2 linked regions of the Drosophila melanogaster genome follow. The gene in region 2 interacts genetically with the main gene of each other region. Each region holds a gene or a part of one and is shown on either strand. Other genes may lie near its edges. The genes, in order: Ent2 and AdoR.

Evidence for each region.
Region 1: of AdoR (region 2) and Ent2, changing one suppresses a phenotype caused by changing the other (phenotypic suppression), as found in Drosophila melanogaster (one study listed by BioGRID).

Annotation. Positions count from the first base shown.
Region 1 is NT_033779.5:6,560,522-6,565,454, reverse strand, and holds Ent2 (equilibrative nucleoside transporter 2), read right to left. Parts: upstream 3,131-4,933; 5' UTR 2,759-3,130; coding exon 1,382-2,758; 3' UTR 746-1,381; downstream 1-745. Other genes in the region: CG13766 (uncharacterized protein), read left to right, coding at 1-285; Trmt6 (tRNA methyltransferase 6 non-catalytic subunit), read left to right, coding at 3,888-4,878.
Region 2 is NT_033777.3:30,146,477-30,151,764, forward strand, and holds the start of AdoR (adenosine receptor), read right to left. Parts: upstream 3,131-5,288; 5' UTR 2,685-3,130; intron 1-2,684.

The sequences.
Region 1 (4,933 bases), on a different chromosome or scaffold from region 2:
GCCGATAGTCTGCCTCAACTAAACACGCTGGTGGTGAGCTACCACAAAGTAAGCAGCCAGGAACAACTGAGTATGCTGGAGAAAACGCGCAAACGTGTGGAGCGAGCCGCGAGAAAATATCCCCAGCGCCTGCATTCGATCTTAGGCAATGTAGTGGATGTGGAAGTGGCCCTCGAGCAGATTGCTGGCCTTGAGAAACGCCATCCCAGGCATACGCCAAAGTTCAATGAGCTTCTGAAGATCGTGTACTTCTTGTCGGATCCGCAGGGCGGAGATAAGAAATGACCTTGAGCTGGTCAGGGCTCTGCCTCGGCTCTTCCCCCTAACTTTGCCCTTGTAAATACATAAATAGGTACTAGACGTCGCCCAAGTGACAAGTGGAACTGATATGTTTATCTGCTACTAGCTGCTCCCACGGTAATTATGTGTCTTCTCAGATAAGGTTCGTTTATTTGGTTATTTTTTTGTTTACCAAATATTTTTCGGCGCCATGTCCAAACAATTCCATCGGCTTTGGAATGGTTTACGCCTCTTTGCAAGATGGCATTAAACTTTGGCACAGATGCAAAATAAAGTATTTCGGAGATTATAATATAGTAATTATTACTAACGTTTAAATCCAGTTTTTGTAACCTTTCTGCCAATTTGAAATTAATTAAATTAGTTTTGTATAAGGCCGTTATCTGCACATTTATTATTTTATTAGAACGTTTTATTTGTACGTTTTCTGTTAACAGTGTTTTTTATCATTACAAGGGTGTCCACAATTTCAGCTGGGCGGTTTCGGTGGCCACCAAAAGAGTGCATTGATTAAATGCTTTGGTCGTGCATATTTGTCCCACTTTGTTATTTCATTCAATCGGATGAAGCTGTGATAAAACGAACCAAATATTCCATTGACTTGTTAGACCCCCTCCTAATTGATAGATATATGTACATCAATTAGGACCCAATTGTCAGACTCTGCAAGTTCCCTTTGCTCTTTTTGTCGGCACAATTTTCCCATGGATGCGAGGTATATTGTTGCTTTAATTTGTACCACTATCTTTGTATTATTTCGTTGATGTAATAAAATACAAATTGAAAAACTTTATTAAATAAAACGTGTTAAAATGATTGATTAGTCCTAGAACTAGAATTGAGCGCAAAACTAAATTTATGTGTGTGCAGTCTAACTATGAAATATTAGACACCATATTATTAAAATGAAAAGTAAAACCTTTATTAAATGAAAAGAATATAATTAATTGGTTAAGACGAAACCAAATGGCCAGGTCCCGGAACTGGTATTGAGCACAAAACTAAATTTAAAATGTGTCAAATAATGCAATGCAATGAACAATGAAAATTGTTAGTAAGCGTCATACTAATAAATGTAAGACTACACGACGAAAAATGGTCCCAGATACGAGAACAGCACTCCGGAGAAGATGCCCGTGATCAGCATGGCAGCTGCGTACATTCCGGCAGTGGTCTGGTATTTGGTGTGCACCGTCTGCGGGGCGTACATCATGCCCAGAGAGCTGAGATACCCGGAGCTGTAGGCCATTGCGATGCCGATGCCCCAGTACACCCAATCGTTCTCGATGAATACGGCCAATGAGCGCACCGAGTCCGGCGGAACGTAGTTGCACATGACAAACAAGGGGATGAACGCCAGACGCAAGACCACTGGCACCCAGAGGAACCTCGGACCCGGCCATTGCACCCACGATGTGGTTAAACTGCCCAGCATTGCGAAGACGTTAAAGGTCGCGAAGCAAGTGACCAGTGTAAAGTAGTCCGGGCCTACTACGAAATTTGGGTCGGAGCGGTGCACGTTCGACTGAATCGCCGGGAAAACCGACAACGTGACGAAAAACGTGAGGAAGATGTTGAATAGTTGGGGCGCTGCTTTCTTGAAGATCTGCCAGTAAGGCACGTTCAGCTGGGCCTTAGAATCAGATTTCTTTTCGCTGCTCCGGCTAATGGTCTCGTAGTGCCGGAAGAACTTGTTCAGCGGCAGCGCAAAGTACGTGTCGAAGCAGAGCAGCAGCACTAGGATGGCGGTCACGAAGTAGTAGATGGCCGAAGTCCTCTTGGACGAGAAGATCTCACCGCATATCAAGGCCATGGCGGTGGTGAAGCAGCCGCTGATGTTGGAGCCCAGGACGACGGCGCCTGTGTACTTGATGGGCAACGATGCCACTATTCCGTATATGGTGTTCTGGTAGATGCCGTTGCACACGTTTAACAACACAATGCACACCATGGTGGTCCAGAAGAAGACGCCCGGCCACTGCGAGGAGTCGAGCATGGCCAAAATAATGGTAACCAGCAGAATGACCATTTCGAAGATGATGCTGTAGACGATTCGGGTGGTCAGGTCGCCGCCAAAGTTGACAAAGATGTTCAGCCAGTTGAAGACCAGGTTAGGAATCTGCGAGGCAAAGCCCATATTTTGCATGAAATGGGTGCGGTAACTCACTTCCGTGGCCACGGTGTTGTTTGGTCCGAACTTGAAGTCCTCGAAATAGGACTTGGCCGTGATGAACATGTTCCATGGCATCAGCGTGCCCACGCCGTGCAGCAGGAATATAAAGAACACGATAAGGAATTTATCTTTTGGCGCTGGCAGGCCCAGTTTCGCCAACACCGACGTTGATCCCTTGCCGTTGGAATCATGGGGCGGCAACTTGGATTCCCACGAGGGATTTAACGTCACCGGCGCCTGCTGTTTGCCAATAAAAGGCGACTTCTCCGATTTAGCCTCCGCCATATCTGCGCGACTTCTGTTCTGCTCTGGCTCGGATTTCTTTCTGGTTCTGCTGATGCGGGCGACAGCAGTTATTGGGGCGTGTGCTTGAGGCGTTTGCTTGAAACCCGAAAACTTGCGCGGTCAGTTATTTTCGCGGTGGCCACAAAACCGGTAGGAGGGCGGGAAGGTTTGATTTTCCCTGCGCCTGCGACAGCACTCTGATTTCGGGATTAGGGTATATCCTCGTGGCGGGGGGTTCGCCTGGAACTAGTGGTCACGTGGAGACGCAACTGCAGTGCCCGAAGAGCGCTGATTACAACACAGATCCAATCAAAGGTTAAAACCGCACCGCACTACAAGATTATCGCCGCGTTGTATCAGCTGTACTCGATCGAACGGCGTTGCCACACCGTTGAAAATTATGATTTATGGGCGTCGATACAAGCGATTTGAGGGGTGCCGTTACGCATGGGCGCAGTCCTTCCCTTCCGTAATCGCCAAGAGGGACCGTAAGTATGGGCAGTAAATAATGTATTTTTGGCAATGATTATTACTTAGTCATAGTAATTCAAGGTATTTACTCACACTTTCACCATCCCTGTTAGCTACACCCATGTTCAACTTAAGCATTCATAGCAACCAACTCTACTTATTAAAGCACAACAGCAAACAGCCACTTATCTCAAAAATGGGTAATGTATGTACATATTTGTTGTATATTATTTTTGTGTATATTTTAACTAGGAGTATTGATATTGTGCTTGAATGTTCTAATTGCATGATCAAAAATTAATTAGTTAAAGTAAATGAAATTTTTGGTATAAGTACTCATGGTTATTTCTTAATTAGAATTGTGAAACATTTGGCCAAGCAACAGGTAATGGAGCTGCCAGATCAGTCAAATATCAATCCAAATATTCTTGTTTGCATAAATGAATTTGTATTGCCAAATTAAGAAAATAATTTGTTGTTAATTATAGCTCTTTATTTAAAATTTCGTTACTAATCACATGCAACAGGTGACTAGATTACCAGATTTTGTCCGTTTTCCAGCACTGAATTTCTCTTCCTCTTCTCTATAGAATTTGCGGCTTTCGTTTGTTTTCGACAAACACGTTGTTTATAAGAATTATAACATAGAGTTGCAACCATGGCCACCGAAGAGGACATCCCCAGAATCCAATTGGGCGACTACATCGTCATCCAGCGGCAGAAATATACGAAGCTACAAAAATTCGGCAGTCTGGACACCACGGCCACATTGGGCAAAGAAACACTGGAGCTGAAGTCTCTTTTGGACCAACCCTATGGCTCCACGTTCAAGATGTGCGTCAAAGAGACAAAGCCGGGTAAAAGGGGCGCCCAGAGACAACACACCTTGGAGCTGTGCAGCGAGACTGAGCTGAGAAGCACGCGAGAGGTTCTGGGCATCTCCAGCAGTGGAGCGGATAATCGGGACATCCGGGATGATGGAGAAGCGCAGACCCTGAAACCAGAGGACATTGCGCAGCTGCGTGAGGAGTGCAACGACTCCAGCAAAATCATCGAGAAGCTGGTGGAGAATTCTAAGACTTTCCACAACCGAACGGAGTACTCCCAAGAGAAGTACCTGCTAAAGAAGGAGAAAAAGTATTTCGAGTTCGTTCAAATCCGCCAGCCAACGATCCGTCTGATGCTGGACATCTTCTACCGCCAAGACTCGGAAAAGGTCATGGGCATTCGCGTTGACACTTTATCGCAAATTATTTCTTACTCGGGCGTTTGTGGATTCGGCAGCTATCTGCTGTACGAGAGTGGTACCAATGGTCTACTGCCGGCTGCCATGCTCAACTCTATAGGCGCAGGCACGGAGGGCACCCTGGTGCACATGCACCCGGGCAATGTGCCCCAGAAGCAGGCGCTCTCAGCTCTGAAACTACCCCTGGAGCAGCAACAGCGATGTGTTTCCGTTAATCTCTATTCCGTTTTAAGGGAGTTTTACCAAGGAGGGGACGCGAAGGCCACAGATATTCCCGTTGTGGAGCCCAGTGAAAACGAACCTCAGGAAACCCAGCTGGAGACGCCAACGGAGGAACAACCTGAGGCGATAGAACCGACCACAAAGAAACCCAAGCTGGATGAGTCAAATAGTGGTAGAGAAGGTATTGGTCACAATAGTAAACTAATCAAGACAAGTACAAATACTATTTCTGTTGT
Region 2 (5,288 bases):
AGCCAATATAAATGCTCACACTGAAAGAACACAATAAACATACAAGTATGTCTTTCCACAGAGAAAAAAATACTCAGGAGAAGAGTAAAGTGTTTTAACATAACATACACGCATTTTTGGCAGGATCATATAAAAGTGGAAATGAATCCTTTTAACGTATTTTTGCTCGGAATGAAAGAGAAACCATATCTGTTAGTTAAGTAGTGAATGAATTACTTTTCTCTCTCGCAGCGAGCACGGGCTGAAAAAGCCGCGCCAAATTGGCCGTCAATTGGAGTCCACTCAAGGGCGACTCACTTTTCTCCAGTTCAGTTGGGTTCACATCGCTCTGGCGCTTTATCATCAGGTTGTAAAAGCCCCCATAAAGGCAGTCATTAAATGGCCAAGTGATGTCAACATTAGGTGTGCCACGCCCACCGCCCACCGCCCCGGACACGTGGGTCGAAACCATCCACTGGGATTTGCAATATGTCGCCAACATATTCATCATCGAACCCACTTCCATTCCCGCTGAACTCGCAGTCCGCTTTGCCTTTTGATGGCGATGGCTGTCAAAATATTGACAATTGGTCTTTAGTTGGCGTGAAGGTCGACTGCACATTAACTGCAGGCACTCAAGGGCACTTTGGTGGGCGCTATTAGGTGTGGGAGGTGTGGGCGCTATTACAGGGTTAGGGCGTGGCCAAAGCAGCGTAAATCTGTGACACTTTTTTTTTTTTTGGCCATCTCTTCGCGAAAAGTTTACGCGGCCAGTTAGCGCGCGATTATCTTCTAATTGGATGCTAATTCCCAACCGCAACCCACTTATGTTTATGTACCTCCTAGCTTCCCGATTTGCAGGCCAGGGGAACTGCTAAAATCGCTGCGTGACTTACTTTAAATTCGTATAATCGAAACGAAATCAGATTCGGCCGAGATGTTGACTTTGTTTGGAAATCGCCCGCGTCGCGCTCTTGGATTTTGGCAAGTGCTGACGTTCGGTTTGCGATTGGGAGGTTGTTGATGTGTCTGCCCGAATATTTATAGAAGCAATTGGAATGGACCAGCTCGAAGATGGGGTGTCAGGCGGTGCCAGGAGCAGCCTAATGAATCCATCTCTGGGTTCGACTTTCTCGACTCGCTGCACACGTTTCCCAGCGGGATGAAGGGCTTTCCCAGGAAAAGGATTGCCGTCCAAATGAGGTAGCTACAGGGAGCCTTGGGCCTCGGAAACGTGCCTGCAATAGCCACTCAGTTACACAGAAAGATAAATGATGTACTTTTGGGAGATCATTTGCGATGACTATGACAAATTATTTTTTAAACTAATGAAATGCCATGAAGTAAATCATTATTACTAATGTATATTTTAAAAGGAAATTATAAAAATAATTTCCACATGAAATGTGTTGTTATGACTAGTTTACAGCCTGCTTTGTATATGGCTTCTCTTTATCATCCATTGCAATTGTTTTACCTATTTATTTCGATGTTATCACCATTTTCCACATGGGTCTATAGCCTTTCCTCAGCAGCATAATTTACTATATTTATCTCTTTATCACACTTATAACAGCGCCTTTTGTAACTTTGCAGTATGAACATGGAAACTGAGTTCATTGGATCGGCCTAAGTTTGTGATAAGAGGCCATTGCAATTGCATTGTGAGTGCTGAAACGGGGAAACCCCGGCCAACTTGTTGACACAAATGCTGCACATTCATGCTTCAAATATAAGCATAAATATTTCTTCACTTTTATCAGCAGAATCGAAAGGGTGCGATAATCATCGAATGCTCCTCGAAGTCGAAATGACTGAACCGAGTGCATCGGACATTTCTGCACTTTCGAATGCAATGCGTTCGAGCGCCGCGTTTGTCGGCGTTCGGAGGCTTAACCGGAAACTTTTAATTTAATTAATTTATACACAAAGGCGTAATCAAGAGCACTGGCGACTTGAGGAGGTCGAAGGACGGGCGGTAGGCGGTGGGCGGTGGGCGGTGGCATGCGAATTGCGGTTACAAGCGCCGTGTGCATCTGATAGATAGATAGATACACCCCACCTTCTCCACCTATGCCCGTGCCATACCATCCCATCCAAACCGAACCGAACGCTTTTGATGTTCACTCGCCCTGCTCGGTTCATTTCGCCATAGTTTGCTTTATTTCCCTGCCCATCGAGTGCAATTCCAAAAAATCCGCCATAAGTAGGAGGCTGGCATCCAAAAGATACAAGATGTATCGCTAATGCAAACTGCAGATGTCTTTTCTTTTCGCTACGCGGCAGTAAGCGGGCAACAGGTGAACTTTGTTTATTGATGCACTCGTTCCGCTAATTTGTTTGCTCGGGATGATTTAATGGGCTGCCCGCTGACAGGGTCAAGGGTGGGTGGACATGCGAATGGATATATGGAGGGATCCGCATGGATGTGCGGATGGATTGATATATGGCTGATGGTGATGACCGGAACTGGATGTTATCAATTAGCCAATCAACAGGACATGCGATACGTGCAACAGGTGAAGACTTTCCCCGCTGCGAAAAGCAAATATTTAGTTGCCTTTGCGGTTAGCATAAACATAATGCTGAGTCCGAATTTTATCGATTTTCTTTTTCGGCTCTCTAACATATGTTCTTTTTTCGTTTGTTTGCACTAGCACTATATATAAATTAAAGTAAACTTTGGGGGTAATTAGTGTAGTTACCTGGAATCGAAGTTGGATTTCCAGAGAGTGGTCCTAAAACTAGAAGGAGGAGCCACAGGTGGTTTTATATATCAGAGAAACAAACACCTTTGCGAATTCATAAATCCGCGATCCAATCACCTGTTGCGTCTTGATAATCTCTCTTTGGCTCTGTATTATTTTCTTATAGCCCGAGACGCTAATTCAATTGACACTCTTTCGGGCCTCGCTGGGTTGCCATAAAAACTGGATGGAAAACTTTTCCAAGCTTATTTAGTTTGGCATTTCATTGAGACGGAACCGCACAGACACAGGCACACACGCACCGGATTTGTTTATTAATTTTATTATTTATTTTTTATGGCATTCGAAACTGAATTTTAAAACTTGATACCGCTGCGATATGCGATTCTCCACTGCGGATATGCGAAATATCCACCGCGCTGGCCAACGCTCGACGGCAAAATGCGCGAATGAATCGCACGGATAGCAAGCCCAAGCAGTTGGGATTCGGGCTCGGGATTTCCGAATCGGGTAACCCAACTGGGGGACTTCGGGAAAAGTGGACGAGCCCCCGAGCTGCGGACTGCGAGCTGCGGACGCCTGTTGAGTGCTTGGAAAAGCGCGGAGAGTTGCAGTTCTACGGCTTGGCCTCCGTCCGGATATAATCGTAAACGAAATATGCTGGCTCTTTTCTTTATAGCTATGATTTGTGGCTGTCGCCGAGATTCCGCTCGCTATTTCTGGCCGCCGTTTGTGAACGTTCTTTACACTTTCAATGGCACTCAAATATAATTGAGACGTAAACCGCGATGGGCAATATGTATTTTCTTAGACGGACCAATAAAGAATCGACGGGTCTGCCAATCAATCGGCATCCGCTCATTGATATTGATGGCCCAGCTGGTTGATCCTTGGCTTCGGAGGGGTACTACTTTTCGATGCGGATGTGCCCAAGAGCACGCAACCCCCGAAATAATCGTTTGGCCAAAATCAATTTGTGCCATTGTGCTGCTTTATGGGCTGTCATCCCGGTATAGAACCAGAAGCCCCCATAAAACCCCCATCGATCCATCGGCTTGTTAGCAGTTCATCAAAATTGTTTGCCGCATATTAATTGCCCGATGTTGGGGCTGCTACTGTGTCAAGCGGAGTGCGATCGTATTGCTCGAGCATCGGGTATTATTAATGCCCCCATACTACAATATCATATCGGACCATCACCATCGACTGGGAATATCGTTTTATTGACATTTACGTGCACGTGACTGGCCTGCGAAGATGTTTGCCTTCTGTCTAGCGAATAGTCACTGCTTTAGATGTGCAAACAAAATCGCGATGCTTGCTGCAGCCAATCCGGCGTATACGTAATGAACTGAGCAGCACTCTTTTTGCCCGGATCTGTAAGTTTTAGAACCATATCTATGGGTCCACGTGCTGGCAATTTGCACGCCCATTTTGGGTTTTACAAGGAGATTTGAATGCAATCGATTCGGAGCGTAGTCAGCTCGCACAATTTATGACCGCACTTTAATTGCTTTTGAATTTTAAGAAATATTTAAATTGTGCGAGAGACAGGGAAGTGCGAGTGACAGAGACAGCGGGAGAGCTTCACCACAGCCGTTGGTAAGCTTACGGTAAAACTTCGAAAGGTTTGTGTCTCAGCTAATGCTTAACGCTTTAAATGATTATTTAATCTTTAACATGGATAATTTCCTTGTAAAAATAAAACGATTATTTTGGATGGAAAATGAGAAAAACTAGTTGATCAAAATAATCCATGTTTCCAAGTGGTTTTTTCAATATTTCTTGACTGAAAATGGTCGTAAAGTAAAAATAATTACTGTTTTGTGCAGCTAATTACCAATGCTTACGATCCCTGTCCCGTTTTTTCGAATTAAGAAAAAAAAATTTTTTTGTCAATTTTCGAATTTTTATAAGGGGTAACATCATCAAATTTTGCAAAAAATCGCAAAAATTTAAAGTTTCCAAATTTGAACACTAATCGATTGGGAAGTTAATTAGGAGTAAAATAAGATATGCCACTCCACTTTTGAACCATTATTTTCAAAGTTGTGTCCAAAAAACGCATTATTTTTTAACCAAAAACAGGGAAATCGAGCTTGGACCAAAAAGTCATATTTACAATTTATAGGATTTATAATTATAGAATTTTTTGAATGCCTATCAAATGGGACTTAACCAGCACTATCAACAGCTCATTAATAAAAACAACAGATCAGCAAAACAAACTCAGTTCTCAAACTTTTTAGCAGAGCGGGCAAACGGCTCAGATCCATATGTTGGCCACTCGTATCCATTCGGTCTCGGTTATGTAGAGCCGCAGAAATGCGATATGGGGAACCCCTCCCCACCAAAAATTGCAGGCACATTCAATGAATTCCACAGTCAGTCGGAAAAATGGTGGGGGGGGGGGGTATGGAAAATGCATGGGTGCTAAACGTTTAATAATTGTCGTTGCCCACATGTACACTGCAAAGAATTGTACACTCAAAAATAATCCTATTTTCGTTATGTACGTTTAAACTGCGTTCTTTCAGTGGATCTCTCTATATATAAAGACATTACAGATAATTAAATTGTGAGATATTAAGCACAGAAAGG